Linked DNA regions of Arabidopsis thaliana. The protein of the gene in region 1 interacts with the protein of each later gene in a biochemical or structural test. Each region holds a gene or a part of one and is shown in the gene's direction. Other genes may lie near its edges.

Region 1 (8,551 bases):
AGATTCTATTGTTTACTTGATAATGGAAACAGGCTCCAAAGTCATGAGGCACAACAAAGAAGTGGTCTGCTCCTTCTGTGCGATTCCAGTATGGCCAATTGGAAGCAATAAGCTGAATGGCACTTCTCATCATTCGTGGAGATTTAAAAGGAAGAGGAAGCCCATTAGGCGTGAGATCACAAGTGGTGTACACAGGTACGTAGAACCAATCAGCTTCCTCGGGATTAAGTGTTCGAACTGGGCTAGATAAAAGAAACCGTTGCATATATATCTCAGCAGCAAACATGTGGTTTAGACATCTCGGATCCTTCTGAAGTATCTTCTTGTTGTATTTACTTGGAAGCTCATAAACAAAGACTTTCAGTCTTCCCACGGGATCATCTTCCAACACATCACCAGCACTACCTAAACATCAGAGAAGAAAAAAACAGATACACACTTAAAGTTCACATCATAAGCAAGGATTAACTATGTAGCTCAATCACAGAACCTGAAAGATAATGCTCATCAAAGTAAAAAGTTCAAAAACAAGATATAGAATCGGCTTATTCAGGCATGAATATTGTCATATACAATTTACAAATCAGATGCATCTTGATTTACATTTTCCCCAGGTTCAACAAGTGAAAACGAAACCCCTAGTCTTCATTCGACTAGCAAACTAGCTGATGACTACACAAGATAACTACGGCAAATCCCTAGAACTAAGCTGCATCATCCAAGTAAAATTATGAAACCTGAGAATTCACAAAATCCATAGATTAACCTTCTCTGCATAGACTGATAGATAGAACTCACCTGAAATTCGCTCAGTTGGTTGACTCCGACTCAGACGGAAAGCAGAAATCGAGGAGAATGTGTTACATAGAAGGAAGATCAAAACGCAGCTCGATAACTTCATTTTTCTCTCTCAGAAATTTTGGTTCCTCCCTAAAAACTCTTCAAAATCCCAGATCATATAAAGTATATAAAGATCAACTAGAACAGCTGAAATGTCAGAAGAAGTAGTTGCTAAAACCGGAACCCCGAGATTGAGACTTCAAAACCGGAACAAAATTTACAAAATTCGCTACCGATTGTTAGATCTCACTCACGCCCAGCGTTGACAGCGAGAGCCCAGCGATTTTCATTTGAAGATGCGAAGAAAGCAAGAAGAAAGTTGAAGAAGATTCGTCTATGGCCTATACGACGTCGTTTGAAAGGGATCCATTTTTCGCAAAGGAAAGTCGTTGGGGACTTGAACATTCCACGTCAGCCTCTTTTCCACTTTAAAAAATAACAATGTAATGGGCTGACCGAGAAGATATAAACGCAGCCCATTATTTAATGGGCAAAAGTGTTTTCTTTTTGGGTTAAAGTGTGATTCCGTTCTTGTGAACCTAGTTGTAAACTTTTGTAACTGCAAAGTGTAGTTCGGTCTTGTTTATCCGGTATATTGAATTTTGAAACAGTAATAAATAGCTGAATTAAGTCACTTTTGAGTTGTTTTTCTTTAATGTGAAAATGATACTGAGAAAATAGGGTAGTAATAGGAGGCTTTAGAACAGATTATTCAGTCTTTTCAAGATTCTAAAACTCCAACAGTTAAATAACAGTGGTGAAAACAGTATCAAGAGTACGAGCCGCTACTCGCAATGATGAAGATGATGATATATAATAGTAATGAATTTATATGTTGTAAACTTGTAATGTTAAAGATTAATAATAAACTAAATGAGAGAAAGGACAAAGAAAAGGTAAGAGGAAACTGAGGGAGTGAGACAGTCAAAATAAAACAGACTGAGAGCATTAAGAATGCCAGTCTCTCAGAACTTCGATTTGACCTGTCGTTTCCTCATTGGCTACCTTTCCAACATTAAAGTTTTTTATCGGCTCAATTCCAATGTTATAATTTTTTATATATTTTCACATCATTCTTTTTTTTCACTGTTTAGTCACAAAGTTTACGTAACCCATATGTCCAATCCCACACTTTAATTTGTATTTTTAGTTCCAACATATAAAAATAACAAAATAACCATTGCTTTTTTCCCCACTTTAATTTGTAAGTTCTTTCTGTTATTTAATAAATTTGACATTACCAAAAAAAAAATTTTTAGATGGGTGAATATATATAGAAATGTAACTTATCAAATTGATTCGGTTTTCTGATTTTCTTAACGACTAAAAAAAATATATGTGTACTAGGGCAATAGGGGTAATTACAAATCAGGGAGATGACAACACGTAAGAGATAGTTGAAGAGATTAGACCGAAACACACCTGACCTCCTCTCCTTCTGGAGTTTTCACACTGCATTTATCAATTAATGTTTCCTAAAACGCAGATAGATAAAGGTTTCATTTATTAGCTTATGTTTATTTAAAGCAAAAGAACAACTTGTGGCTATATATAGTAGATTAACAATCTCAGACTCAGAGTGCTGATATTTCTTATCATACAAAATTTATCTTCCCCTAACAATACTTCCAAAGCTTATTTAGATAGACATATATGGAATTATGGATAATGGATTCCCTTAAGTTATATGAATCATAGGGGAATATAATTTTAGTAACTTATCGGGCTTCTGCAAAGATTGTGCATGGTACCATGCGTCCATGCCAATACAGTTAAAGTTTACATAATACAAATTTTTACGTATTTCTATATATCATATATGACTTACAGATTATCATAGCTTAATATAGCCAGTATTGCCAACTTTCCATTCGTACCTAGAACTTATAAGAAGATTGGAAAGGATATTAAAATTGAAAAAGACGTAGGTTGGCCATGTATCTTAAGATAGTTAAACGATATCAGCAATCTATCAATAATCAATCTATCGTAACAAATATTTTTGTCATAAATGTATTTGTAGATTTTTTTTTTTATACTTTTAGATGGTTAAATGTTCAAGAAATCTAACCAAATGGTGGAATGGTTCCGTTTGATCGTGCTCTCATGGTACAAACAATGAGACCCCCCAAAAAAAAAAAACCCCCGAGGATGAAATTAAAACAAATAACACAGCTTGAACAAAACATCAAAAACAGAGGATCATCACAGTAAATATTAATACTTGAACAAAACATCAAAAAGATAGGATCATCACAGTAAATATTAATATGCATAAAGAAGAGAATCACCACAGTGAAAACCCTAATCATTTTATATTCCTACGTGTCAAATTATGAATGGTCATAATCAGAGTAGAGAAAAAGAATGTCGATGAAAGAAAAAGTTTGACTTGTTAAGTCCCAACTGTCAATTTCCCAGCAAGACACATATCTTCTTTTACATCACATTACATCTACACATAAATGCTTTATTGCAAAAATAGCGATATAAAAAAAGAATATACAAAAACCTAGTATTTATTTTCTAGATTCTTTACTGTTGTATATATAGAAGTTGCTCGAGTGGTCATTTTTACAATAAAGCAATCTGCTCAAAAGAGTAAAGAAAGAGAGAAAAAGAGAGTGATAGAGAGAGAGAGAAAAATAGATTATGGATCCTGAAGGTTTCACGAGTGGCTTATTCCGGTGGAACCCAACGAGAGCATTGGTTCAAGCACCACCTCCGGTTCCACCTCCGCTGCAGCAACAGCCGGTGACACCGCAGACGGCTGCTTTTGGGATGCGACTTGGTGGTTTAGAGGGACTATTCGGTCCGTACGGTATACGTTTCTACACGGCGGCGAAGATAGCGGAGTTAGGTTTTACGGCGAGCACGCTTGTGGGTATGAAGGACGAGGAGCTTGAAGAGATGATGAATAGTCTCTCTCATATCTTTCGTTGGGAGCTTCTTGTTGGTGAACGGTACGGTATCAAAGCTGCCGTTAGAGCTGAACGGAGACGATTGCAAGAAGAGGAGGAAGAGGAATCTTCTAGACGCCGTCATTTGCTACTCTCCGCCGCTGGTGATTCCGGTACTCATCACGCTCTTGATGCTCTCTCCCAAGAAGGTACAATAATTATGAATACATATAGAAATATCAAATATCGCACGTTTTATAAATATGTGTATATATTGTTCTCAACATTTCTATGCCCGACTTTCAAGAAAAAGTATGTATATGTTCACGTGACTAATATAGATAACTAATTTATGAATCTTACCATATGTATAGTAGTTGCTACATAATTTTATGTTTAAGCTTTTTTTTTGGTTAAATATATTGGTTAAGCTTTTGTTACATAATACAAGATAATATATGTCATATTTAATTTATATGTTGGATATATTTACTTGTATGATATTGATTTAGAGCTACTGTGTGTATAGAGTATGCAGTCATAGTCTGATATTTATTAAATAGACCTAGTGCAAGAAGTACGAGGATTAATGTCATGTACAGGAATTCAAAGAGTATATACGCCTAAACTTGAATAATTTTTTGTGATTGTGACAATTTATATGTAGATGATTGGACAGGGTTATCTGAGGAACCGGTGCAGCAACAAGACCAGACTGATGCGGCGGGGAATAACGGCGGAGGAGGAAGTGGTTACTGGGACGCAGGTCAAGGAAAGATGAAGAAGCAACAGCAGCAGAGACGGAGAAAGAAACCAATGCTGACGTCAGTGGAAACCGACGAAGACGTCAACGAAGGTGAGGATGACGACGGGATGGATAACGGCAACGGAGGTAGTGGTTTGGGGACAGAGAGACAGAGGGAGCATCCGTTTATCGTAACGGAGCCTGGGGAAGTGGCACGTGGCAAAAAGAACGGCTTAGATTATCTGTTCCACTTGTACGAACAATGCCGTGAGTTCCTTCTTCAGGTCCAGACAATTGCTAAAGACCGTGGCGAAAAATGCCCCACCAAGGTATCTTTTGATTTATCTTCTAAGAACTAATCCTGACCGTTCATTATCTTGAAATTTATGTTTCAAACAAAAGTTTAAAAAATGGTGTCGGAAGTTATGGGGTATGGTAGGGGAACTATAGCTATAATCATGGACAGCTGTTCTAAAAGCAAGTTTGACAAATCACGATTTCTCAGGGTTTTCAATTTTTTATTTTTTTTTGCTATGTCTCGCAACAAAATTTAGGTTCTAATTTATTAAATTTTTCATTTTGTTTTCATACTGTCTTCAGCATAAATATAGTTAGATTTCAATTTCAATTTTGACAGTAAACGTACGACAACGTGTCGAGTTAGGGAAAGGACATAGTTGTTTCTTTGTTTTTGGCTATAACGACATGAGATAGTTAGATACGATATACAAATTTTTGCATGCATTCACACATAGTACACATAGATATTATTAGACTTTTTGACAATTAATAGGGATATTTGTTGTATGTATATATTATTATATCTAGTTACAGTCTATTGCTCGGCGGATAATAGAGGGTCCTCTTTCCTCTAGTGATGATAGTACAGAATCCATGAGCTCTGTGCCATTGCTTGTACAGACGCACGTTACTAAGAAAATCTAATTTATTTGTTTTCTTTCTAAATTTGTTATTGGTTCCAATATTTTGATTATTGTGTTGTTTTTATCAAAAACCTTTTTGTTATCTAATTTTTTGGGTTTAGTTAAGTGTCAAGTCTAACAAGGGTTATAAAAAATATCTAACAACTACGGTTATAATTTTGGTAGGCATTTTTTTTTAATCATTGTTTACCGAATTAAAACCAAACTTATTAGGTTTCATTTTTCCTACTATATATCTCATGATAAATGATTTGTTTGATTATATTGATGTTGGGGAAAATGTGTAAATAGGTGACGAACCAAGTATTCAGGTACGCGAAGAAATCAGGAGCGAGTTACATAAACAAGCCTAAAATGCGACACTACGTTCACTGTTACGCTCTCCACTGCCTAGACGAAGAAGCTTCAAATGCTCTCAGAAGAGCGTTTAAAGAACGCGGTGAGAACGTTGGCTCATGGCGTCAGGCTTGTTACAAGCCACTTGTGAACATCGCTTGTCGTCATGGCTGGGATATAGACGCCGTCTTTAACGCTCATCCTCGTCTCTCTATTTGGTATGTTCCAACAAAGCTGCGTCAGCTTTGCCATTTGGAGCGGAACAATGCGGTTGCTGCGGCTGCGGCTTTAGTTGGCGGTATTAGCTGTACCGGATCGTCGACGTCTGGACGTGGTGGATGCGGCGGCGACGACTTGCGTTTCTAGTTTGGTTTGGGTAGTTGTGGTTTGTTTAGTCGTTATCCTAATTAACTATTAGTCTTTAATTTAGTCTTCTTGGCTAATTTATTTTTCTTTTTTTGTCAAAACCTTTAATTTGTTATGGCTAATTTGTTATACACGCAGTTTTCTTAATGCGTTAACGGATTTTAAAACCAATTTGGTCAAACTCAAAAGTACTAAGATACATTTGAGTTAAGAGCACTGAAAATAACCATTCATACATCGAGAAAGAACTGTGAAGGTGTCATCAGTATAATTAATCAATAATGGGCCAGTTTGAGACAAATATATGGGCCTGGTTTGAGACAAATAGATGGGCCGTGGATATATAAACTTGTGTGTCAGAAATTGCAAACGAAGAAAACAAAAGAGAATTTGAGAAACGACTGTTTGAAATTCGAATCCATTTCTCTTCGGACTTGTGTGATAACTGATTTCCTCCTACAATGGAGTTCCCGCCAAGAGCGTTTTATCCACGGAGATTCCAGGCCTCTCCGGCGCAATACACGGCGGAGGAAAGTGCTGCAGCAGTATCGGCGCCAGATCTCCGAGATAAGCTCGCGACACTGGTCGATCGCACCAAGAAAGTGAAAATGGCGTACCATCAACTCCAATCGCAGATCGCGTTCGGCCTTGTCGAAGTAAAGATAAATGCTCTTCTCTAGTTTGTTAGATTCGATTTCTAAGTAGATCTAAGCTTGATTCAAACGAATTTGAGAGAGGTAATCCTATTATCTGGTTTGGTAGATTCGAGCTTGATTTGAACGATTCCGAGTGTTGCGTACTCTTTAAATTGGTAGTTTCAAGCTTAATTTGAACAATTGTGGGTGTTGCAACGAATTTGATAGAGAATTTGATAATTTAAAGGCAGGTGAAGTTTTCGATTCTCTGGCGATCCCTTTGATGAAGTTGGTTGGGCTGAAAACGTCGGAGATGGAGAGTGAAGGGAGACACTCCGCCTTTATTTTCAATACTGTGAGTGATATCAATCATCTTCTTGTAGAATCATGAAATTGCAAATTTTCAGATCATTACTCTAATTTTCATCAGGAAAGGTATCATCATATGGATACTGCACGGTCTGGTGATCTGAACATTCAAATTCGCAGTTCAAAGGTAGTATAGTAGTATACATCATGATTCTTATAACATATGTATGCCTAGTTATAATGAAGACTGAACGTGAACCAATTGATATGATTCTGAAACTGTTATGTGTCTAGGCAAGTGTCATTCTGATGATTCTGTATATGTGTATCCCTTGTTCTACTATAGATGTGATGCGAAAAAAGCAATATGATTCTGAAATTGTAACGGGTCTTGTCAAGCTTCACTTTGGTGATTGCCTATTTAGTATGACTAATTTTACTAGATATTGAATGTGAAACCAAACAATGTGATCCTGAAACTGTAAAGCGTCTAGTCAAGTTTTAGTTTGGTGATTCCTTATACATGTATACCTAATTCTGGTATAGAGTGAATGCAGACTAATAAATATGATCATGAAACTGTGATGTGCCTAGTCAAGTTTCATTCTGGTGATTCGTTATTAATGTTTGGCTAGTTCTGCTATAGATTAATGAGAACCAATAGGGAATATAGTTTAGATGCTGTCTTCTCTACACTTTCTGTTTCAAATTTTAATCAATTGCATCACAAAGCTGTTTGGAAAACCATTTGTACCTTCATGTGGGTTTGGAGCTTGCAGTTAAATATATAATTCTGCCTACTTTGAGTGGATTTCTTCCTCAGAAGTTCATTTGAAGTATCATGATTTTGTAGGAAGAAAACTATGCTGCTAAAGCCGAAACAGCGGGGAAAGAGATCTTGCACAAGCATAAGGGGCAGCTGAGACAGTTAGTTCATATGCTTAAGCACATTGAAACACAGGTGAATTCACATCGGGAAGATATTCTGCAGATGGTTGACGATCGTAGAACCTTCTTCCAAGAATTCATCCAGAAGTCTCTTTATTACCTAAGCTCGGTTCACAGCCAAAACCATGACACTTTCCCTGTCACAGTGAAGCTCCTTCGCGTACTATTTAATAACATCAACGAGGTGCTTGGTTCAGTAGATACTGGAGTCAATGATTTTATGCAGGCTTTAGCAAAGAATATGTGTCACCCGATGACCAAGTACGTAGGCAACTTGGCTGCTGAAATAAAGCATGGCCCTTGTGTGCAACTGATGAATGTAGTGAATGAGATGGAGAGATCAAACTCAGATACAAGGAGAGAGCTACAAGATGCTAGAGAAAGGATTAGACTTGCAGAAGAGACAAAGATCAACGCTTTATCAAAGCTGAAAAAAGCTGAAGATCAAGTTCAGAGGATGACAACATCTGCCAAATTTCTTCTACCCGCGAGTCAGAAGAAACAAGCTGAACATTCTATTACCGGCAA
Region 2 (7,479 bases), on another chromosome or scaffold:
TTTTTCTTTGAATTTAACTCTATTTGTTTTCTTTTGGAAAGTTGATGAGTGATTGTCGGTAACTATACTAAAAATGGTTTTGCATTTTTCTATAGGTGTGGTATGCCTTGGTACGTGGAGGAAACAAGTTAGACACATAAGCACATATGTACTAGACGCAAATAATGTCACAAAAACGGTTTAAAATATCTGGTTTTCAGTTTGCATGTCGTACTTATAACCGAACGTGTGTAAAGTTCTCATGTCATATACCAGTTCTGTTAAACTAATGAAATATGTTCAGAGGTTTAACCACTATAACTATTAGACCCGATTTCAATTAATCAAGAAATATCCAAACTTTTTAATATATGCATTATGCTTTACAAAATTGTTTGATCTTCTAATGATGTAAAGACATTTACAAAATATAATTATTTAATTGATTCTAACTAATTTGTCCGCGCATAACGCTGGCCGTAAACTAGTTCTTCTTACAAATTACAATATCAATTTCCACTTTGGGCCGGAAATTTATATCCATAACTCTACTACGTACCAATTAACACATGTGTGTAAATAAAACTACATAATGGCATGAATGGAGTTTCGAATCAGTTAATGTGGGCGACAAAATAAAATCAGATTATGTTTTATTATTAAGTTTAGAAAGAGATGCTTCATTAAAAGTTTATGCTTTAATGTTAAATCAGACTATTTATTATGGGTACGACTTGTAAGCGTAATTCAAAGTTAAACAAAACCTAGTTGGGAAATGGGAAGATAGATGATTTGATAAAAACAAGACACTGTTTGGTTTCAGAGACTTCCTTTAGCATCAAAACACAAACAAAAGCGAAGCCTCTTGAGTTACTGCAAATAGAGAATATTATTACCCTTTTGCGACTTGTCAGCTTCAGATATTCTCACTTGTATTATTATTTTCACGGTAAACAATGCCTTAAATAAGAAACCCTGATTGGACTTTTGATCTGACTCTACTCTTCACTCTTTCTTCTTCTTTATTTTCAGTCATGATGTCTCTCTAACCCTAATCTCAAAAAATCCAAACTCCTTTTATTTATTTCTAAACCTTGATTATAGCTAGCAATGATTAATATAAGAATTTTTTTTCTGGATAAAGAATTAATTAGAAATTGAGTTGTAAATGTTTTGTGATGTCTAAAATTCTTTTGTTTGCAAATTAGATGTAAATTGATATATTTGAGATTTGTATGAAAGCTAGTTTTATTTTCCCTAAACAAGAAGTTCATTATCTTGGACTTGGAGGTTTTAGAGTTTGAAAGAGTTTACAATTTATAAGAAAAAATAATCACTATATATATATATATAGTGTATATAATGAATTGTTTCACATTAAATTGCAACAACATCAAATAAGGGTAACATACTAACATATAGTTTGTTTGTTTACTCTTTAAAAAAAGGGGATAAACTAAGAGCTATTTCTGCTATAATTTAGGAACAAACTGGATCACATGACAAAAATGCATCATAATTCATATTAAATTTTGTGTATATCTATTTCTCATGTTTAGAAATAACATTCTTGTGTGTTATACATGTTATCAGTTTTTCTTCCTAGATGGAAGTTTTATTGTTGGAGTCTTTTAAAACCATACTCACTATGTTCCTCTTTATTTGATGTTTTGGATTTTAGATAGAAATTAATAAAAAATATGTTTTCTATTTTTATAAAATTATTTTTTTGTTAGTTTAGTAATTTTATTTTTCTTTTTTTATTATTAGTCACAAGCAAAAATAATAACAATATTTTTATAAAACATTAATTTTGGTCGAACAAGTAAAAATAACTCAAAACATCAAATAATTAGAAACTAAAAAAGTAGATATTGTCAAATTTTGTGTTGAGTTCGAATAAGATAATGTGGTCTCCTCCAACAAAATTATTTAGAATAAATGCACTTCTATGACATTAGAGAACCAACTAATTTATTTAGAATAAAACACACATATATATTAACATATAAAGTAATTCTAATTGGCTTGATATAATATATAAGTAAAAAAATGATCTTAATAATCTCTAGTTTTCTTGGGTTGATCTCCACGAGTACAATTTGACTGACCATTATAGAAGTTGAGAAGCGTGCATGTAATAAAAGTTGTATATTACAAATTAGAGAGGAAAAAGAAAGAAAGAAAAAAGATTTGAAGATGTGATCAAGTGTGAAAAGTATTGGAGTAGTCTCCAAATTAATAATTTCGATGCTGGGCATTGACAAGATAACTCTGAAGCTCTCAACTTTAAGACCATCACTTCCTCTGCCACCATTTTCACGTTTACCCAAACACACACATATACAAACAAAATTTTGTTAGTCAATAATTATCACCAAACTGGGGTTATAACAAGGCTTTTGGATACTTGTGCTTGTTGATGTTCTAGGTTCGTATGATAACAAAGTACATCCGTTATATATATTCGAAACACACTTTAATATTAAAAATATATATCCAATTTTCTTGTGAAATTTAGATTATTTGGAATTAAACCTATTTCTCTTGTCTTGGCCACTTGACCGGTTTAGTTTTTTAGACGTATTTTATTATTTCTGTTTAGAAAATAACAACATATATCAACTGATTTTTTACTTCCAATCTCTTTTTGTCAGCACACAAATAGAAAAACGTCTGTAAGCTAAGCTATCAACTAAAACATTAACATATATAATCTTTTACGTTGATAGAAAATAAACATAAATTTCTGAGTTATTTTTTTTTTGGTTGGTGTGTCACTACTTACTTACTACTATACCTTTTTAACAATAAAGAAACACTATTTCTTTTTCTATTCAATATAATATATGTTTTCTATTTGTATAAATCCATTACCTTTGTTTGTTTTATACCAAATGTTCTTTATATATAAGTATATGCCACCTTACTCTATTGAAGTCAAGAACATATCAAAAACCCATGCAAGAAGCTCACAGAGAAAGACCAAACACTTTTGTCTCTTTCTTCAAAACTTTTACATATGATCTTTGCCTCTTTTCCTACAATGGGTTTTGCATAACTTTCACCAAAACCCTCCTCAAAAGCCCTTCACATATTCCCAACACAAGAAAATAAACTCTAAATCCACTTTCACCAAATCTTTTCATTTTTCAGCTAAAATGGATTCAACTGTGTTCATCAATAACCCATCTTTAACCTTACCTTTCTCTTACACATTTACCAGTAGCAGCAACAGTAGCACAACAACGAGCACCACCACAGACTCAAGCTCCGGTCAATGGATGGACGGTCGGATTTGGAGCAAGCTACCACCTCCTCTTCTTGACCGCGTCATTGCTTTTCTTCCACCTCCGGCGTTTTTCCGGACACGTTGCGTCTGCAAGAGATTCTACAGTCTACTTTTCTCCAACACCTTCCTCGAGACATATCTACAACTACTTCCTCTCCGACACAACTGTTTCCTCTTCTTCAAACACAAAACCCTAAAGAGTTACATTTACAAGAGAGGAGGAACAAACGATGATGATTCCAATAAAGCTGAAGGCTTTTTGTTTGATCCTAATGAGATCCGATGGTACCGTCTCTCTTTTGCTTATATCCCTTCAGGGTTTTATCCTTCAGGATCATCAGGAGGGTTAGTGAGTTGGGTCTCCGAAGAAGCTGGTCTTAAAACCATTCTCTTGTGTAACCCTCTTGTCGGATCCGTGAGTCAGTTGCCACCAATATCAAGGCCAAGGCTTTTCCCTTCGATAGGTCTCTCGGTAACACCAACCTCTATTGATGTTACTGTCGCTGGAGATGATCTCATATCTCCTTACGCTGTGAAAAACCTCTCATCGGAGAGTTTCCATGTCGACGCCGGCGGATTCTTTTCCCTCTGGGCGATGACTTCTTCTTTGCCACGGCTTTGTAGCTTGGAATCTGGTAAGATGGTTTACGTGCAAGGCAAGTTTTACTGTATGAACTATAGCCCTTTTAGCGTTTTGTCCTATGAAGTTACTGGAAACCGGTGGATCAAGATTCAAGCTCCGATGAGGAGATTTCTCAGATCTCCAAGCTTGTTAGAGAGCAAAGGGAGGCTTATTCTTGTAGCAGCTGTTGAGAAAAGCAAGTTGAACGTTCCCAAAAGCCTACGACTTTGGAGTTTGCAACAAGATAACGCCACATGGGTCGAGATCGAACGGATGCCTCAGCCGCTCTACACACAGTTTGCAGCAGAAGAAGGTGGAAAAGGATTCGAGTGTGTCGGAAATCAAGAGTTTGTAATGATTGTGTTAAGAGGAACCTCGTTGCAGTTGCTGTTTGATATAGTGAGAAAAAGCTGGCTGTGGGTCCCACCGTGTCCTTACTCCGGCAGTGGTGGCGGTAGCTCAGGTGGCGGTTCAGACGGAGAGGTCTTGCAGGGTTTTGCTTATGACCCGGTGCTTACTACACCGGTGGTTAGTCTTCTTGATCAGTTAACACTTCCATTTCCTGGAGTCTGTTAGTTTTTAGACTTTAAGATAAAGAGACTACTTGTGGTTTCCACTTCTGACGTTAAGACTGCTTGTTGTTTTCTCAAAATTCTGTTTCTTTTATCTTATTACTGTCTGTATGTAGTAAGTTTATATTTCTAATGTCAAATGTCTAATCTTTGACAACATGTCAACAACATATACAGACAGATTTCTAATTGCGTACAATCCAATCCTAAATCCATCAAACTCAAAAACATAACCCTTGGGAGAATGGTTTCACTTGAGCTTAACCTGGAGAATGAGATGAACTTTGCGGTTCATTATTCTCCTGAGTTCTTCATTGGCCTCAATTCCTATCCTCCTGCAAAATTAGCATCAACATAAGATCATCCTTGAGTCATTGATTAGTCAAAAGAATGAATTATGAACGATCTTGTATGCTCTTACCCGATCTTGCAACCGCCCTTGCCTACAAGAATCTTGCGTTGGCTAAGTTTAGGAGTGATGAGATGCTGTTCAATTCTAAGAGACCCGTCACGCAGCTCTTTCCAGTCCACTAGACGGTGCTCCAGACCATATGGTATTTCCTACAATTTGTTTCAATCAATCCTGTAATTTGTCATCTTGGAATAGACGGAAACTGATACAAAATGTTATACTAGTAGAGGTTGTATTATTACCTGATGGACATGGTCTAGTAATCTCTCCCTAACAACTTCAAGAGAAATGTTCTTCAAGACTTCTTCACTCATCGTGAATGCATCTTCTTCCCATGGTTTTTTAACAGCCTGATCCATTAAGTATTGGGAAAGATCTTTCACTCCTGATCCCTTAAGTCCCGATATCATGAAGTATCTAGAAAACCAAACAGGGAAAAAGCACATTTCAATCAATTCGAAGACTTCCCCGGTAATTGTTTTTAAACTGAGTCTGGTATATATATATCCACCTTTCATATGCCGGAAGATCTTGGAACTCCTCAGCAACCTTTAATAGATCCTTTTTCTTCTCAACCAGATCAACTTTGTTCATACATAAAACGCGCTTTTGTTTCGGATTTTCTTCTTCTCCCATGTATTTGATCAAGCGTACCACTCTTGAATCGGGACTAGATAAATCAAAGAGAAAACAGAATTCACAAACTACAAAATAAGTCTAAGAGAACTCTATTTCTACTTGTAATTAATGAAAAACCACAGTCATGATGCCTTCTTCAAAAGAAAGAAATAGATGTGTCTTCCCATCGGTTTACGGTTCTCAAGCTTATGGATAATCTCGGAGAGATGAACAAGATATGAAAGATATCGAAACAGAGAAGCTAGAAATAATAATCCCACCCTAAGATACCCCACTTGATGATGATGCTCATAACCATACTACTCTCAGTTCCGAGATAACTTATGTAAAGCTAACAAAGTACAAAAACTAGTAAACGACTAACCTCATGAGATGCCTATGGACATCAAACATAACAATGAGGACATCAAACAGGTCAACAGAAGTCCAAGCATTTTGCACACGAGCCTTGATGTCTTTGTAACCATATCCGCTTTTCTTCAGCATCAGACCCGGAGTATCGAAGAAACACTGCAAGGTTCACAAATATCAAAAATTCAATCTACGAATGGCTGATCTCCACAACTAACCATAACGAGTAGTTTACATATGCAACAGATATATAAGAGAAAACTTACGACTTGTGTATCTCCTTTTGTCAATACTCCTAACACTTCATGTGTCGTCGTGTTAGTCTTCCGTGAAGCAGCAGCAACCTTTGTTCCAACCTACACTTGGACATAACGAAACACTAAGCATAACTCTCATCAAGATGCAATAAACAAAGATACACAATCACTTCAAAAATTGCAACTTTAGGACTAATCAAGAGTCATAGCAGCACTACATAAACATATACACAATGTCTCAATTGATTCTCAGAGACCAAATCACAGGAATGTGAAATTAAGGAAATGAGCCAACCATGAAATTAGTCAGCGAAGATTTTCCTGCATTAGGTGGACCGATGATGCCGACATTAAGCGACTTCTGATCTTCTTCTCTAACTTCACCTTCACCAAGTTCTTCATCTGGTGACTCTAACGCAGCCTCTAAGAGAGCCTTAGCGAGAATCCTTGACCTATCAACACTATCCTCATCATCTTCAGAACTCTCTTCTTCTGCAACTTTCACTTTACCTTTCTCTGTCAAGTTTCCAAAGAAGGCTTTGTTTACTCTTTCTCTGTACCCTTTATCCCAAGTTGCTTCCTTGGGCTTCTTCACGGAATCTACATTGGAATCGTCGATTGGGTATTGACTACTATCGAAAACAGAGTCGCTGCTTGATCCGTCTTCATTGATGGAAGTGGGTTCGTCTAGATTCGGCTGCGCTGAGTAAAATCGGCGGAGAAAGTTTTGTGCTTGATGGGGATTACGAGGTGTTGTCTTCGTCGTCGTTCGTGAGATGGAAATTAGTATACGTAGAGATCTAAAAGCTTTCATTTTTGTAACAATGGCGAAGTAGCGATCTCGGAGAAGTACAGATTTGAACGAAATGTAACAGAAGAGGCTTCCGAGGGTTTTAGAGGTTTTGATGTTTTGGGGAAGTGGTGACAAAGTAACTCAATATTACAGATAGGCCCCTCACTTTTTGACAAATCCAACGTAGTCCCTAACTTTGTATTCGATATAATTACTACTAGCAAAGTAGCAATACAACAAAAATTCATACTAATCGTATCAATTGGAGTTTGAATATACAGTTAATGGAAGGAATATTAGTCAATTTTGTTTTGGCAAAATATTGAACAACATGGTGCAAACATTTTGGGTGAATCTGTATAATATAATACTTTGATCAATTCAGAAGAAAAGGAGACAAAGTTCTTCCTCCAAGTCTCCAACGACCAAAAAAAAAAAGGACTAAACTTCTGAGAAAAAACATCTCTGAGATCCCTAAACAATGTAATGGTAAACTAACTCACCTGGCTAAAGAATACAACAGATGGAAAGTTAATAACTTAAAATCAGATCATAAATTCAG
Region 3 (8,517 bases), on another chromosome or scaffold:
GCATGACTTGGTAATGGTCACCATTAGTTTACAATCCCTATGCATTTTTAATTTGGCCAGTTTCGTGGAAGACAGACTCGCAACGCTGAAAAATGTCATAAAAGAGCCTGAATTAGACAAATGGAGTTTATACCTAGGTGGTCTCTTCCCTCTCCCATATCATCACTTCTGGTTCCCCTTATTGGTTATTCTGACAAAAACTTATCTCAAAACAGGAACCTGGGGATACAACACTGAGAAAGAGAGAGCTGAAGCAGCAGGCATTCCCAGGATTCAGGTTATTGAGCTCTCCACGTTTAGCAATAAGCTTAAATGAGTGCATATACTCATTGGAAAAGAAACAAAGCTTTCCTCTTTATTGTATTCTACGGCATTCAACGGAAACTAAAAACCAAACATGTTTAGGTAAGATTCAGTAAAAGAGTTGAACTTTCAGTACTACCCATTATAGAAGCTTTTCTGTGACCTATAATTCATCCTTAGTAAGATCATTCTTGTTACCATCACCATCTTCGTGATCTTTCCTTTGCTCAGCTTGAAATTTGTCAAAGACATCTTCAAATGGAGGATCTCCAGGTCTTCTAAACTCTTGCTTCCCTATCTTGACCTCGTAAGCTTCTTCTTGGCTCAGCACGAATTCCCTTAGCTAATTGAAAGATATGATTGTGATGTTAGATTTTGACTAATCCACTAAACAAAGTTTTCAGCATTGTGTGTTTTCTGTGGCTTTTACCTCAGTCACAAGCTTCCCATTTTGCATATTGAACATCACTGTGCTTCGATCTACAGCCATGAATCTTACTCCTATCCCTCCTGTTCTTAAAACTTTTGTCCATTTCATAGCAATATCAATCACCACATCCTGATTGAAACATATAAACAGATCACTATTCAATCCCCTGAAGCAACTGGACCCATATCGAATTCAGAGAATTTTGAACAGTAACTGAAACTATAACTTAAGGACCCCAAATTCACGATTCGATTTGGATTTTAGTTTACCTTGGTACGGGGGACGCCTAACCGGAGCTTGACGAAACCGACGACGGTTCCAAAAGTCCGTTTAGCCATTTCCTCTTGGATCTGATCGAATCCCATATTGGTGAAATCCGGAGGCGGATCAAATTCCGGGGTCGTTGCTTTCTTCCCCCACTCTTTCCATGACTCGTCTTCTTCATTGTCTTCAACGTCGTCTAGGTCATCGGAGATCTCGATCCGTCGCTTCGTTGCTTCGGCGATCCGGACAAATCCGTGAAAATTCATAAAAAGAAGGAGGCCAACAAGTAGAATCAGCGAAGAAGAACGAACGATCTTCTCCATCGTTTAACAAATTTATTCAGGAATCAGAAACAGAGGAAGAGAGACTGCATCGGCAACGGCATTTCTATATCAGTAAAGCTTCTACAAACTCGCACACAAGTCACAAAACCATAATAATGTGACTTTTTACTTGTTTCGGGAAAAAAAACTATTAACGACATAAACTGAACCTGCTGGTTCAAAACTGTTCGCCGTTTTTCTATCTTAAAATAGAACTGCGTGCCAACTATTGACGTAAAGATGGCAAGCATATCAAGGCTGAAAGATGAAAACGACACGAGGTTGCACCGTAAATAAAACAAGGGTAATTGTATGATTCTCTCTAATCTACTACTGCACTACAGAAGGTAAAACTAAAAGTCAAAATTTGTCTAATTTTAAATTCAAATTAATTAATCAAGTAAAACAAACATAAGTCTAATTTGATTTCCAAATTTGTTTTTTTTTTTCTTTTTTTGATTTCCAAATTTGTTTATAGTAGTATCATTTTAGTATTCTTATTACCCAATACGGAAACAAATATTTGAAATAAACATGGAAAAATTAAAAGTCATTCCATTTGGTTAACAAAAGGAACGTTTGGTAAATTCACACGTGTCTCATCGTCATTTGTGCAACTGACTTGTATAAGGAAGGGTACTTGTGGTAATAAAAGCGAAAACCGAGGGGTGGCCTCGTGAAACGCATTTTCCGTGTTCCAACTGTATCGAGGCGTGGGACCTACAATCAAAAATAAAATAAAATTAATGCCCCTTCCAAAAAAAAAAAGAAAGAGAAAAAAAAGAAAAAGGGAAGTAAGAAGCCAGCTAGGGTTTGACTGCGAGAAATTTCTGATCTGCGTGAATTTCTCAAAGAGAGGAATCGATCATCGATTCCGTGGATTTCGTTTCCCTCCCTTTTTATTTTTATTTTTCGAGAAGCCATCTCAAAGGATCTGAGTTTATACCGTTGCATCCCCCGCGACTTTCGTTTTCCGATTTCCCCCAAATTCGATGCAAATCTAAGAAGAGAGAGAAATAGAAAGGTGTGTGCGCTTCAACCGACTCAGTGTCTCTCTCTCTCTCTCTCTCTCTCTCTCTCTGTTGCTATTTGAGGTTTTTTCCTTTGCCTCGGGGGCTCTCGCTGTCCGAATTCTTTTGTAGGGATTTATTGGGTAGGGTTTTTCCACTTTTTTTTTGTCTTCTTCTACTAGCTTCGTTGTGCATTGGGTTTAATTGTTTCCAGTGTAGTGACTGTCAGATTCTTCGACCAATTGCATGCAATCTGGAGGCAGTGGCGGAGGGCCCGCTCGGAATCCGGCCATGGGTCCGGCTGGTCGGACTGCTTCCACGTCATCCGCTGCTTCTCCTTCTTCTTCCTCTTCATCTGTGCAGCAGCAGCAACAGCAACAGCAACAGCAGCAACAGCAACAGCAGCTGGCGTCTAGGCAGGTAAAGGATTCTCAAGTCTCTGTTTGGTTCGTTATGACTTAGGAGGGATAAAATGCTTGTTTGTAGTGGCTAATGTTTGTCTGTTAAACTTGCGGCTATTCAATTTTAGTGGGACTTGACTGTTTATCAATTCTGTGTAAAAGGAAAGTAACCAATATCTTTAAATTGAAGTTGTGTAATGGTAGCCACTTGGAGAACATGTTTTGTTCATTTCCACATATATATATAGTTGCTCTGAATTGTGGATTATTGTTCATTTGATTGTTACTAATTATTATCGTGCTTCTGATATGGCAGCAGCAGCAGCAGCACAGAAACTCAGATACAAACGAAAATATGTTTGCATATCAACCTGGTGGGGTTCAGGGAATGATGGGCGGTGGCAACTTTGCTTCGTCTCCGGGCTCTATGCAAATGCCTCAGCAGTCTAGAAATTTTTTTGAGTCTCCTCAGCAACAACAACAACAACAACAACAGGGTTCTTCTACCCAAGAGGGCCAGCAAAATTTTAATCCAATGCAGCAAGCGTATATTCAGTTTGCTATGCAGGCTCAGCATCAAAAAGCACAGCAGCAAGCTAGGATGGGAATGGTGGGTTCATCAAGTGTGGGAAAGGATCAAGATGCACGAATGGGAATGTTGAATATGCAAGACTTGAATCCGTCTAGTCAGCCCCAGGCCTCATCATCGAAGCCATCGGGCGATCAGTTTGCTCGCGGTGAAAGGCAGACTGAATCAAGTTCTCAGCAAAGGAACGAAACAAAATCTCATCCTCAGCAGCAGGTGGGTACCGGACAACTAATGCCTGGAAATATGATAAGGCCAATGCAAGCACCACAGGCTCAGCAGCTTGTCAATAACATGGGAAACAACCAACTCGCATTTGCACAACAGTGGCAGGCAATGCAGGCATGGGCGCGTGAGCGTAATATCGATCTCTCACATCCTGCCAACGCCAGCCAAATGGCACACATCCTTCAGGCAAGAATGGCTGCTCAACAGAAAGCTGGTGAAGGCAATGTGGCCTCACAGTCACCATCTATTCCAATCTCTAGCCAGCCGGCTTCATCTTCGGTTGTTCCAGGTGAGAATTCACCACATGCCAACTCTGCTAGTGATATCTCTGGGCAGTCAGGATCAGCGAAGGCCAGACATGCATTATCTACTGGCTCATTTGCCTCGACTTCCAGTCCCAGAATGGTCAATCCTGCTATGAATCCCTTCTCCGGCCAAGGGAGAGAGAATCCAATGTATCCTCGACATTTAGTTCAGCCTACAAATGGGATGCCCTCAGGAAATCCCCTGCAGACTTCTGCAAATGAGACTCCTGTTTTGGATCAGAATGCATCTACAAAAAAAAGTTTAGGTCCTGCTGAACATTTGCAAATGCAGCAGCCTAGGCAACTGAATACACCGACTCCAAATTTAGTAGCGCCATCTGATACTGGTCCACTCAGTAACTCGTCCCTTCAGAGTGGACAGGGGACCCAACAAGCACAGCAGCGATCAGGATTTACCAAACAGCAACTCCATGTTCTCAAAGCCCAGATACTGGCATTTAGGCGTTTGAAGGTTTTCAGCTCTGACTTTTTCCTTATGTCTTCATTTTTATTGTATGTTTTGCTGGAGATGTATGCCTATAAATAACGTGTCTGCAAGCCAGGTTGAATGTTTTTAATTGCTTTTTTTTGACAGAAAGGGGAAGGTTCTTTGCCTCCGGAGCTTCTTCAAGCTATTTCTCCACCACCGCTTGAACTACAGACGCAGAGGCAAATATCTCCTGCCATAGGGAAAGTTCAGGATAGATCTTCAGACAAAACTGGAGAAGACCAAGCAAGGTCGCTAGAGTGTGGCAAGGAGTCTCAGGCTGCTGCTTCTTCAAATGGACCAATTTTTTCTAAAGAGGAAGATAATGTTGGAGATACAGAAGTAGCTTTGACGACAGGCCACAGCCAATTATTTCAAAACCTGGGAAAAGAAGCTACTTCTACTGACGTGGCTACGAAAGAGGAGCAACAGACTGATGTATTCCCTGTTAAGTCAGACCAAGGAGCAGATTCTAGTACTCAAAAGAATCCTAGAAGTGATTCTACAGCTGATAAGGGAAAGGCTGTTGCATCTGATGGAAGCCAATCTAAGGTTCCTCCACAAGCAAACTCTCCCCAGCCGCCCAAGGATACAGCCTCTGCCAGGAAATATTATGGACCGTTGTTTGATTTTCCCTTTTTCACTCGAAAACTTGACTCTTATGGGTCTGCAACAGCCAATGCCAATAACAATCTCACATTAGCATATGATATTAAAGATCTGATTTGTGAAGAAGGTGCAGAGTTCCTTAGTAAGAAAAGAACAGACAGTTTGAAGAAGATAAATGGTCTGCTAGCAAAAAATTTAGAAAGGAAAAGGATTAGGCCTGATCTTGTTTTACGGCTTCAAATTGAAGAGAAAAAGCTTAGGCTATCTGATCTTCAGTCTCGTGTTAGAGAGGAAGTAGATCGACAACAACAGGAGATAATGTCCATGCCGGATAGGCCGTACCGCAAATTTGTGAGGTTATGCGAACGGCAACGCCTAGAAATGAATAGACAAGTACTGGCCAATCAGAAAGCTGTCAGAGAGAAGCAGCTGAAAACCATTTTTCAGTGGCGTAAGAAACTCCTTGAGGCTCATTGGGCTATACGTGATGCACGCACTGCTCGTAACAGGGGAGTGGCCAAATACCATGAAAAGATGTTGAGAGAGTTTTCAAAGAGAAAAGATGATGGCCGCAACAAAAGGATGGAGGCCTTGAAGAATAATGATGTAGAAAGATACAGGGAGATGTTGCTGGAACAGCAAACTAATATGCCTGGTGATGCTGCTGAAAGATATGCTGTTCTCTCTTCATTTTTGACCCAAACCGAAGATTATCTTCATAAACTTGGAGGTAAGATTACTGCCACAAAAAATCAACAGGAAGTGGAGGAGGCAGCAAATGCTGCAGCAGTAGCAGCGAGATTGCAGGTATACATACTGCTTTCTCTACTCCACAGCGAATATCCATTACACTCTGTAGATAATTCTTCAAACTTTAACTTAAATGTTGACTTTTGCGTGTTTCAGAAAATAGAACTTTTTCTTTTCAAAGGTATAGTGGATATATAGTACCTTACCTGTTTCCGTTTTTGACGCAGGGGTTGTCAGAAGAAGAGGTCAGGGCAGCAGCTACTTGTGCTCGAGAAGAAGTTGTGATCAGAAATAGATTTACGGAAATGAATGCGCCAAAAGAAAATTCATCTGTCAACAAGTAAGGGCATTAGTCACACAAAAAATGATTAAAATAGGGAATTAGCAAAGTACTAGTTGTAACTCATAATTACCAATGCAGCTGAATACTTAAAAAGTATGTGCTTATCTGTAAAATGCTGATAATCCTGCACATCCATATGTGAGAGAATTCTACAGATCACAAGATTAGGAATAGGCGCCGTGGGTGATGTCTAACTCTGTTATGTCCAACTCTAGGTACTATACTCTGGCTCATGCTGTAAATGAAGTGGTTGTAAGACAACCTTCAATGCTTCAGGCTGGAACTTTGCGTGATTACCAGCTGGTATCTCCTCCATCTATACTCTATGTTGTTGCTTTTTTCTCACTGTCATGCCACGTTTTGATGGTTTCTAAGGTTTTTTGCTCTGTGCCAATCAGGTTGGATTACAATGGATGCTATCGTTGTATAATAACAAATTAAACGGGATCTTGGCTGATGAGATGGGTCTTGGAAAAACTGTTCAGGTTAAATCTGTTCCCGATTTGCAGGGATTCCTGGATTTACTTTTCTTTCGCCTTTGGTGACCAATAAATTATTATATTGTCCTATCATAATATACTAATTGTTTTGTACAGGTAATGGCACTGATTGCTTACCTTATGGAGTTTAAAGGGAATTATGGACCGCATCTCATCATCGTTCCCAATGCTGTTCTGGTGAATTGGAAGGTTTGTGTTTCTGATAGACTCTCTTATGATTTTCCACAGAATCAATGCTTAGAACCAAGGGAGTATTTGAGACCCCAAGTCTCCCAACTCATAATTATCTCACTCAGTTCCGCGAGAACCCACAAGCCTCTTATATCCATTATCTAAGCTTAACTTTGACTCTAGCTAACTAGCTGTTAGTTGCGCTGACATGGCCATATCCTGTTGATGAACTCTTCTGTGTTCTTTAGAATACGTATAAGTTTTTTTGCTATCTTTCGTTGACTTCTCTCTGGTACCTGATTAAAGTCCAATGGGTTTTCTTCTGCAGAGTGAACTCCATACTTGGCTGCCATCTGTTTCATGCATATATTATGTTGGTACAAAGGATCAACGTTCAAAATTGTTCTCTCAGGTAAAATTTGAAAAAGTTTCTTTTGCTCCAGATGTTTTGAAGACGTTAATTGATACATCCCCTGTTCTCTTTAACAGGAGGTTTGCGCCATGAAGTTCAATGTCCTCGTTACGACTTATGAGTTCATTATGTATGATCGATCAAAACTCTCAAAAGTTGACTGGAAATATATTATAATTGATGAAGCACAACGGATGAAGGACAGAGAATCTGTTTTGGCCCGAGATCTTGACCGGTATCGCTGCCAGAGGAGATTACTTCTCACTGGAACACCTTTGCAGGTTGGTAATAGCTGTATAGCTACTTGGGCATAAATCAGGACATATAACAAATGGAAACCAAGATTGTATAAGCTGTTTACATTATTTGACTATTCTTATCCTGCTTTTATTAAATCTTGCAGAACGATCTGAAAGAGCTTTGGTCACTATTGAACCTTCTCCTTCCTGATGTCTTTGACAATCGAAAAGCATTTCATGATTGGTTTGCGCAACCCTTTCAAAAAGAAGGTCCTGCGCATAATATAGAAGATGACTGGCTGGAGACTGAAAAAAAGGTCATAGTCATTCACAGACTTCATCAAATTTTAGAGCCATTCATGCTCAGACGCCGTGTTGAGGATGTGGAAGGGTCACTTCCTGCTAAGGTAGGATCTATCTTATATTTTTGCTGTTATTTTCCGTCTAGATATTTCCTCTGATTATGCTTTTGGGTTGCAGGTTTCTGTAGTCTTACGATGTAGAATGTCTGCTATTCAGAGTGCCGTTTATGATTGGATTAAAGCGACTGGAACTCTTAGAGTTGATCCAGACGATGAAAAACTTAGGGCTCAAAAGAATCCGATATACCAAGCCAAGATATATAGAACTTTAAATAATAGGTGCATGGAGTTGAGGAAAGCCTGCAATCATCCTTTGCTCAATTATCCATATTTCAATGACTTTTCCAAAGATTTCCTCGTAAGGTCATGTGGAAAATTGTGGATTCTGGACAGGATCCTTATAAAGCTACAGAGGACAGGCCATCGTGTATTGCTCTTCAGTACAATGACTAAACTTCTTGATATCTTGGAAGAGTATCTACAATGGAGAAGGCTTGTATACAGAAGAATTGATGGGACTACCAGCCTAGAAGATCGGGAATCAGCTATTGTGGACTTCAATGATCCTGATACGGATTGCTTTATCTTCTTGCTTAGTATACGTGCAGCTGGACGGGGTCTCAACCTTCAGACTGCTGACACAGTTGTTATATATGATCCTGATCCAAATCCCAAGAATGAGGAACAAGCAGTTGCCAGAGCCCATCGTATAGGGCAGACAAGGGAAGTAAAAGTGATTTATATGGAGGCAGTTGTTGAAAAACTCTCCAGCCATCAAAAGGAGGACGAGCTTA
Region 4 (7,781 bases), on another chromosome or scaffold:
TATTCTCAGAACCCTCAGCAGATGCAACTCCAGCAACAACATCAACAACAACAGCAGCAGCAACAGTGGTCAAGACGCCCTCAGCTTCCTGGAAACGCTAGTAACGCTAATGAGGTGGTTCAGCAGACGACCCAGCCCGAAGCTAGCAGCGATGCTAAGTAAGTTCTTGTTCCTGAATACGTCTTGTTGCAAATTATGATGCTGGAGTAATTATTATGAATGATTTTGTTTGCATTGAGTAATGATTTGTGCTGTTAGAGATGTATGTGTTATTTTGAGGTTAAGTTATATCTCTTTAGTGTGCTCATGGATTCTCTGTTACTCTCAGTGGTCAAGACTGGAAGGCTACGTTAAGGCTACCACCTCCTGATACTCGTTATCAGACAGCGGTATGGCTGCTTTCTTCTGAGTTTTTCTGTGTAGGAATTATGAATATTGAGGATATTGAATAAACTCGTGTTGAGCAATGTCTTCCATATTGTCTGCAGGATGTGACAGCTACAAAGGGAAATGAATTCGAAGATTACTTTCTGAAAAGAGATCTGTTAAAGGGAATATATGAGAAGGGTTTTGAGAAGCCATCTCCAATTCAAGAAGAGAGCATTCCAATTGCTTTAACTGGTAGTGATATTCTTGCTAGAGCTAAAAACGGTACAGGAAAGACTGGTGCCTTCTGCATTCCAGTCCTCGAGAAAATTGACCCAAATAACAATGTTATTCAAGGTATACTTCTTTTTCCCTGTTGAGTTGATAAGTGATCAGTTGACTGTTTGTGTTTGTCCTTGAACCACTTGTTCTATTTTTTATATGCAGCCATGATTCTAGTTCCAACGCGAGAGCTGGCCCTTCAGACATCACAAGTTTGCAAGGAGCTTTCCAAATATTTGAATATCCAGGTTATGGTCACCACTGGCGGTACCAGTCTGAGAGATGATATTATGCGATTACATCAACCTGTGCATCTGCTGGTTGGAACTCCTGGAAGAATATTGGATCTTACAAAAAAGGGTGTCTGTGTTTTGAAAGACTGTGCGATGCTTGTAATGGATGAGGTGAGCTCCTGATTGCTTTCCTAATATCTAGATCTTAAGTATATCTTCGTTTTGTGGTATGGCTCCTGCAGTGTATGTTCCTCATGTCTTTATTGCTAAAAATTGATGATGAACAAACTGTAGGATTACTGCTAGAAGGAATTTTTCTTAATTTATTCTTTAGTTTTCTCTGTCAAAGACTCAAAATTTGACTTTATCATCCTCTATACATATGCATAGTTATACTTACTACTGTTAACAGTCATTTACCCCTTACTTTGGTGAATTTTGAAGATCTTTCTTGTGTGTTGTTATATTCACCTGAGTTTATTTTGTTTTATTGTGTCATAAGCTTCAAAGTTTCTGACTCCTTAAAAATGATTTCTCCAGGCCGACAAGCTTTTGTCTGCAGAATTCCAACCTTCTCTAGAGGAATTGATACAGTTTCTACCCCAAAATCGTCAGTTTTTGATGTTTTCCGCCACATTCCCTGTCACTGTTAAGGCTTTTAAGGATCGACATCTCCGGAAGCCCTATGTTATCAATCTCATGGATCAACTCACGCTTATGGGTGTCACGCAATATTATGCTTTTGTCGAAGAAAGACAGAAGGTTCACTGCCTCAACACACTTTTCTCTAAGGTCAGATGTCTAGATTTATCCCTGTAACTACAGAATTATGAGGGGCTTGATTTAGATGTTCTAAAGTGGTTATGGTTTTTCAATCCCAGCTGCAAATAAATCAATCGATAATCTTTTGCAACTCTGTCAATCGCGTGGAGCTGTTGGCTAAGAAAATCACAGAACTTGGTTATTCATGCTTCTACATTCATGCAAAGATGGTTCAAGACCACAGGAACAGAGTATTCCACGAGTTCCGCAATGGTGCTTGCAGGAATCTCGTTTGCACTGGTAAGCTTTGTGTTTTTTAGCATGTACTTTGAACATTGACCAAGTGTAGATTATGATGATGATGATCTGGCTTATTGGAAAATGACTGCAGATCTGTTTACTCGAGGAATTGACATTCAAGCTGTGAATGTCGTGATCAACTTTGATTTTCCTAGGACTTCTGAGTCATATCTACACAGGGTTAGTCGAAACAAAACTGGTTTGTGATCTAGTTTCTTACATGTTCATTTTAACTCATGTTGCGAAATGTTCAGGTGGGTCGATCAGGACGGTTTGGACACCTTGGATTGGCTGTGAATTTGGTAACTTATGAGGACCGTTTCAAAATGTATGTCGTTCCTTCTTTTCAATGTTCTAACCGGTTTTTCTATTCTGTTAAAGTTTTCTTAGTCATTTATCATGTTTTGAAAACAGGTATCAGACTGAGCAAGAACTTGGGACCGAAATCAAACCAATTCCTTCTAATATCGATCAAGCAATCTACTGTCAGTAAACTTGTAACTGTGCATGAAACGTGTCTCCACCCAATGAGAGGTACAAGATGGTTAAAATGGTAAGAGTAAGACGAATCCTCTCTCTTAGGCTTAACTTGTCAAAACAACATTTAAAATCAAAAAGCTATATTGCATGTTTAAGACCAGTGTGCCCAATATTTCAGGTGTTTCTCAAGCTCGAGGGGAGGAGATGAGGCAACTAGTACTTGGCGGTTCATGTAAAGACTCGTTACTCAGTGGTTTGGTTCCTAATCTCTCTTAAAGACACTTGTTATCTGGTTCTATGGAAACCTCTTTACGCTGCACTTATTATGAGACTCCCTTTGACTTGGTTAGTAATAAAGATAGAACGTATGACTCTCCTCTTTTTTATTTTCGTGTTGGGCTCTGTTTGGAATTATGGGCTTTATCCTATTTAGGATCTATTTATCATGAAAGTTGCACTTCTTAATTTTTGCTTCCACGGAATTATTTTGATTTTTCCAAAATATTTTCTTCCACATGCTTATTATTCTAGTTTGGTATTAAGCTATTTTCGTCAAAATGTTTGAACCGTAACCAATCTTGTTTTATAGTGTTATATCCATTGAGAAATTATAGTTTTCACGTGTTTATTTATTTATTTGGGTTATTAAACATAAATCATGTAAATCTGAATCCTGTGGAGATCTCTCCCTAGTTGATGAATAGATATGATGAATTTAATTCTTTCATGAAATAAAAATATATGAAACATATGTAGCAGAAAAAGAAGCATATCTATGAAACAACAAACATTCAAAAAAAAAAGGAAAACGGAAAATTATTAATATGAAAACTACGGCTTTGACTTGTAGCTGACTACATTTACGACATATATATATAAATGGACCCCACTGAGTGTCTGCAAGGTCTTTACACAACAGTATCTTCTTCTGTTTCTTTGACTCTTTGTGATCCCTAAGCCTACCCATAATACGTGTCTACATTTTATTGGATTGTTTCGTGACTCTGTAATCTTTTTTATAAGAAAACAAGTAATAGTGAAATTGAAGTAAATAGCTCAGCACAGAAACTTCGACAAAAATAACTCACAGATTAGAAAAGAAAATATATGCATAAATAGCCATGGTTCATTTATGAACAATTTATTCGTTTTTTTAGTTTATAATTTCATTAAAACATGTTTGTCACATCACATTTCATGTCCTTCGGCTCCTACTACAACAACAAGTCACTGTCATCTCCATTACTTCCACTTCTGCTCCTTTCTTTATTAACTTGTTCAAAAACAATTCTAAGATAAATAACAATAAATGTTGGTCTCTCTTTATTATTTCCCGGCTAAAGAAGGAGGATGTCTCGTATTATCCGCCATCAATGCTCTTTTGTTTCCTGTTTCTTGCAATTTGAATCCCTGAGAATCCTAGCCCACTTATTTACTACTTTGCCTTAGCTGTTTTCGACATCAAAATTTTGGTCATATGACTCATATCAATCTTCAAATTTGATAAAATATGTTCCCAATTCACAAAAACAAAAAAGTTTTCGAAAGCTCAAAAACCTTTACCATTTCAATAGTAGATAGGATTCTTTTAGATTTGCATTTCACGAAAAGAGAAGAAAAAAAATCGAAAAATATTTGCAATCATGATTTTTTGTTTCTGAAGGAGACCTGTAGTTGCTGTCATGAACATTAAATACAAATCTAATAAATGTTGTACGAATTTTGCGTGTAATAAATGGTCAGGGCCGGCTCGAAGCTCGCTGATCGTCCTTTTTTCGTGTCTCTATAGCAACACACAATCGTATTTATTTCAAACTTTTTTTACTTTGTTTCCCATCCATCAAATATAAGTATAAAAATGTAAAGAATCATCATATATAGATCGTAAATTCATTGCTTCCTTTGGCTTTTTATTTCATCTAGACGACGTTAAAACCAGACCAGACCAAATACATTTATCATTTTTCCCTTTTTTCTAAAATTCTCTCTTTGATTCCTATCTTCTTCTCTTTATTTTCACTTTGTGCTTTCTCTGTCTCTCCTATTATGAGTCTAAAAGTCTACTAGCTGTTCAATAGTTTTGTCTTTCTGTGTTTCTTCTTCTTCAAAACCGAAAGAAATTCAAAAAGAGTCTTTCGCTGCTTGTTAGTGGGGTGAGGAACAAATGGGAAGAACACCTTGTTGTGACAAGATTGGTTTGAAGAAAGGTCCTTGGACGCCTGAAGAAGATGAGGTTCTTGTTGCGCATATCAAGAAAAATGGACATGGAAGCTGGAGAACACTTCCTAAACTTGCTGGTAAACTTCATATTCTTCTTCCTCTTTCGTTTTTGTTAGATTCTTGAGGAGATTTCGGGGAAAGTTTTCATCTTTACATCAACATTTTTACTAGAAACTCCATAACTATGGTTCTTTGACTTGTTGGAGAAGGAAAGTTATCTCATTTATTAAGGTTTTGTTCCCTTTGGAGAAAATTCCATTAACTGGGGTTCTTCAGAGATTACATAGAGAAAAGCTTTAATCTTTATAACTTTCTTGTCGGTCATGGTGAAACAGGTTTACTTCGCTGTGGGAAGAGTTGCAGGCTGAGATGGACAAACTATCTGAGACCAGACATAAAGAGAGGTCCTTTCACTGCTGATGAAGAGAAACTTGTTATCCAGCTTCATGCCATTCTCGGCAACAGGTCTTTTACTTTGCTTCTCCACCTTCCTTCTCTACTCTAGCTATCTTCTTCTTCATTGTCTGAATTCTGCTTTTTTTTGTTTCCTCAGGTGGGCTGCTATTGCAGCACAGCTTCCAGGAAGAACAGACAACGAGATCAAGAACTTATGGAACACTCATTTGAAGAAACGTCTTTTATCTATGGGTCTTGATCCCAGAACTCATGAGCCATTACCTTCATATGGGTTAGCTAAACAAGCTCCATCTTCACCAACAACTCGCCACATGGCTCAATGGGAAAGTGCTAGGGTTGAAGCTGAGGCAAGGCTTTCTAGAGAATCAATGCTCTTTAGCCCTTCTTTTTACTCTGGTGTAGTAAAAACTGAATGTGATCACTTCTTACGCATTTGGAATTCCGAGATTGGTGAAGCTTTCAGGAATCTCGCTCCATTAGATGAATCAACTATTACTAGTCAAAGCCCTTGCTCGAGGGCAACATCGACCTCATCTGCACTTCTGAAGAGCTCAACAAATTCTTGGGGAGGGAAAGAGGTTACTGTGGCGATTCATGGCTCAGATTATTCTCCATATTCAAATGATCTTGAAGATGATTCAACAGACTCTGCTCTTCAACTTCTGCTTGATTTCCCTATAAGCGATGATGATATGAGCTTCTTGGAAGAGAACATTGACAGCTACTCACAGGCTCCTCCTATTGGTCTTGTTTCCATGGTTTCCAAATTCTAGTCTTATGAGAGCCTAATATCTAAGAAAAAGATTCAAACTTTGCTTCCTTTTGGTTTTTAGTGATGATAAGTAGGGATATAGTATCTATGTAAATCAGCATTAGTTAGTTGAAGTACTTAATCAACCCTTTCTTTTATGATTTGATCATGTTTGAGAAAATTGCAGAACATTAAACAATTAACCATTCATTCTCATGTTTTCACACACAGAATCAATATACAATCAACATTACATGAGAATAAAGAAATTTGCATATTGAAGACTAGAAACATCCACAAGTTGCCTTTGGAACAATTCCAATGGCTCTGTATTTAGCAGACGTTTCTTTCGCTATAAGAATGCTTGAGAAAATTGTAGATCAAGAACAAAAACTTCGAATGAATCCTAACATTTTGTGAGAATTGAATGAGAAGCTAGGTTATAAAAACATTTATAGACTTATGTTTTGTACGCCTTATAAAAAGAACATGATCAAACCCTAACACTCTACTACAAAGAAACAAAGTTAGAACCACAGTCAAATCCTTTAGATAGGGAAACTAGAATTCTAATTAATGGCGAATGGAGGAGACTACGTGACGATTACGTAACTAAAATTAAACAGACTCTGCTCTTCAACTTCTGCTTAATTTTCCGATAAGCGATGATGATATGAGCTTATTGGAAGAGAAGAGCTACACACAGACTCATGTTGGTCATGTCTCAATATATGGTTTCTTAATTCTTATCTTATGAAAGCCTAATATCTAAGAGAAAATATTCAAATTTTGCTTCTTTTTGGGTCTTCTGATTTTTTAGTGAACAGAGGTTACGTGACCGTTAAGTAACTAAATTAAATTAATTTTTGATGGTTTAGTAATTGCCAAATAAACCGAGAAGTGAAAAAAGGAAATTAACAACATAAGAGTTTTTGAAAAAAGGAAAAACAGAAAGTAAAAAAGGAAACTTGAATCCCTAACGGCTAACACATTAGAGAACATATTCTTTTATTAACCAGACCAGAAAAGAGAAGAGCGTCGTGATGGAAGATGATACATATTCTTCTTCGTTTAGAATCATTCCAGATATTAACGCCAACGCTCAGTGGTGATTTCTGATTCGGCTCTGTTCACATAGCCGTTAGTACGCGACGAATTAAGAAGATCAAGTCTGGTCAGACATTTCAGAAGCATCACGTCTTGATAAATCTACCGGAGATTTTGAGAGGAATTTGCAGTATAAACGGCAACTGACGACGGAGATGGCGATAGAGGCGGTGAATTTTGATCGGGGATTATAGGATTTGTTTTCAGTCACGGTGGCGGAGAAACTAACGGTTGGATTGCAATCTTCAAAACCATACGAAGCCCAACAATAAGAAAAGGAAATTCAGCCCATGATAGTCCATCAGATTATTAGTCAGGTCAATTTCTATCCCATCTTAATTTTCATTTTTAAATATTCACTTTTTATATTTTAATTCAAAGTTTTTTTTACTATACACACTAGTTCTTTTAGTAAAAAAAAAAGTTTTTAAAGATATATTTTTTATATTACTATAAAAACTTTAAGGTTTTTAGTTTGAATAAGTGTTAAATTTTTAAACTTTGTGTAAACTAATTGGATACAATATCCAAACCCCTTAGGTTCAATATGGTTTACACATTATTTAGATTTTTAACACTTGTTTTTTTTTCTTAAACAATATTTTTTATATTACTATTAAAATTAAGATTTTGTTTTTTTGGATAAGTGTTAAATTTTTAAATTTTATGTAAACTAATTGGATACAACATTCAAACCCCTAAATGGTGTTCTAGGTTCATTATGGTTTACACATTATTTAGATTTTTAACACTAGTTGTTTTTAAAAAATGTTGTTAAACTTACATTTTTTATATTACTATTAAAACTTTATGGTTTTCTTTTTCTGAATAAATGTTAAATTTTTAAATTTTGTGTAAACTAA

What was found.
Region 2: the proteins of LFY (region 1) and UFO form a complex in vitro, tested with the Arabidopsis thaliana proteins (one study listed by BioGRID).
Region 3: the proteins of LFY (region 1) and BRM form a complex in vitro, tested with the Arabidopsis thaliana proteins (one study listed by BioGRID).
Region 4: the proteins of LFY (region 1) and MYB17 form a complex in vitro, tested with the Arabidopsis thaliana proteins (one study listed by BioGRID).

The regions. Positions count from the first base shown.
Region 1 is NC_003076.8:24,840,803-24,849,353, forward strand, and holds LFY (floral meristem identity control protein LEAFY (LFY)), read left to right. Parts: upstream 1-3,445; 5' UTR 3,446-3,492; coding exon 3,493-3,949; intron 3,950-4,407; coding exon 4,408-4,814; intron 4,815-5,720; coding exon 5,721-6,131; 3' UTR 6,132-6,187; downstream 6,188-8,551. Other genes in the region: GUT1 (Exostosin family protein), read right to left, coding at 17-405, 799-901; AT5G61865 (uncharacterized protein), read left to right, coding at 6,593-6,787, 7,014-7,121, 7,197-7,262, 7,929-8,551. UniProt on the Arabidopsis thaliana protein: Probable transcription factor that promotes early floral meristem identity in synergy with APETALA1.
Region 2 is NC_003070.9:11,033,040-11,040,518, forward strand, and holds UFO (F-box family protein), read left to right. Parts: upstream 1-2,952; 5' UTR 2,953-3,140; coding exon 3,141-4,469; downstream 4,470-7,479. Other genes in the region: AT1G30960 (GTP-binding family protein), read right to left, coding at 4,716-4,800, 4,887-5,026, 5,120-5,294, 5,389-5,547, 5,881-6,026, 6,134-6,223, 6,420-6,938. UniProt on the Arabidopsis thaliana protein: Component of SCF(ASK-cullin-F-box) E3 ubiquitin ligase complexes, which may mediate the ubiquitination and subsequent proteasomal degradation of target proteins. Considered as a meristem identity factor required for normal growth of the young floral meristem.
Region 3 is NC_003071.7:18,920,728-18,929,244, forward strand, and holds the start of BRM (transcription regulatory protein SNF2), read left to right. Parts: upstream 1-1,805; 5' UTR 1,806-2,473; intron 2,474-2,549; 5' UTR 2,550-2,576; coding exon 2,577-2,750; intron 2,751-3,047; coding exon 3,048-4,322; intron 4,323-4,445; coding exon 4,446-5,753; intron 5,754-5,923; coding exon 5,924-6,036; intron 6,037-6,254; coding exon 6,255-6,342; intron 6,343-6,437; coding exon 6,438-6,524; intron 6,525-6,635; coding exon 6,636-6,728; intron 6,729-7,038; coding exon 7,039-7,122; coding exon of another isoform or gene 7,123-7,137; intron 7,138-7,199; coding exon 7,200-7,403; intron 7,404-7,525; coding exon 7,526-7,768; intron 7,769-7,841; coding exon 7,842-8,517. Other genes in the region: AT2G45990 (ribosomal RNA small subunit methyltransferase G), read left to right, coding at 61-137, 216-316; AT2G46000 (LDL receptor wingless signaling/trafficking chaperone), read right to left, coding at 467-646, 734-862, 1,003-1,320. UniProt on the Arabidopsis thaliana protein: ATPase subunit of a multiprotein complex equivalent of the SWI/SNF complex that acts by remodeling the chromatin by catalyzing an ATP-dependent alteration in the structure of nucleosomal DNA.
Region 4 is NC_003074.8:22,666,719-22,674,499, forward strand, and holds MYB17 (myb domain protein 17), read left to right. Parts: upstream 1-4,010; 5' UTR 4,011-4,587; coding exon 4,588-4,720; intron 4,721-4,978; coding exon 4,979-5,108; intron 5,109-5,196; coding exon 5,197-5,833; 3' UTR 5,834-6,033; downstream 6,034-7,781. Other genes in the region: AT3G61240 (DEA(D/H)-box RNA helicase family protein), read left to right, coding at 1-158, 329-389, 489-723, 814-1,052, 1,422-1,673, 1,763-1,943, 2,035-2,123, 2,198-2,271 and 1 more. UniProt on the Arabidopsis thaliana protein: Transcription factor that may play a role in flower development by repressing ANT. Regulates the transition of meristem identity from vegetative growth to flowering. Acts downstream of LFY and upstream of AP1. Directly activates AP1 to promote floral fate.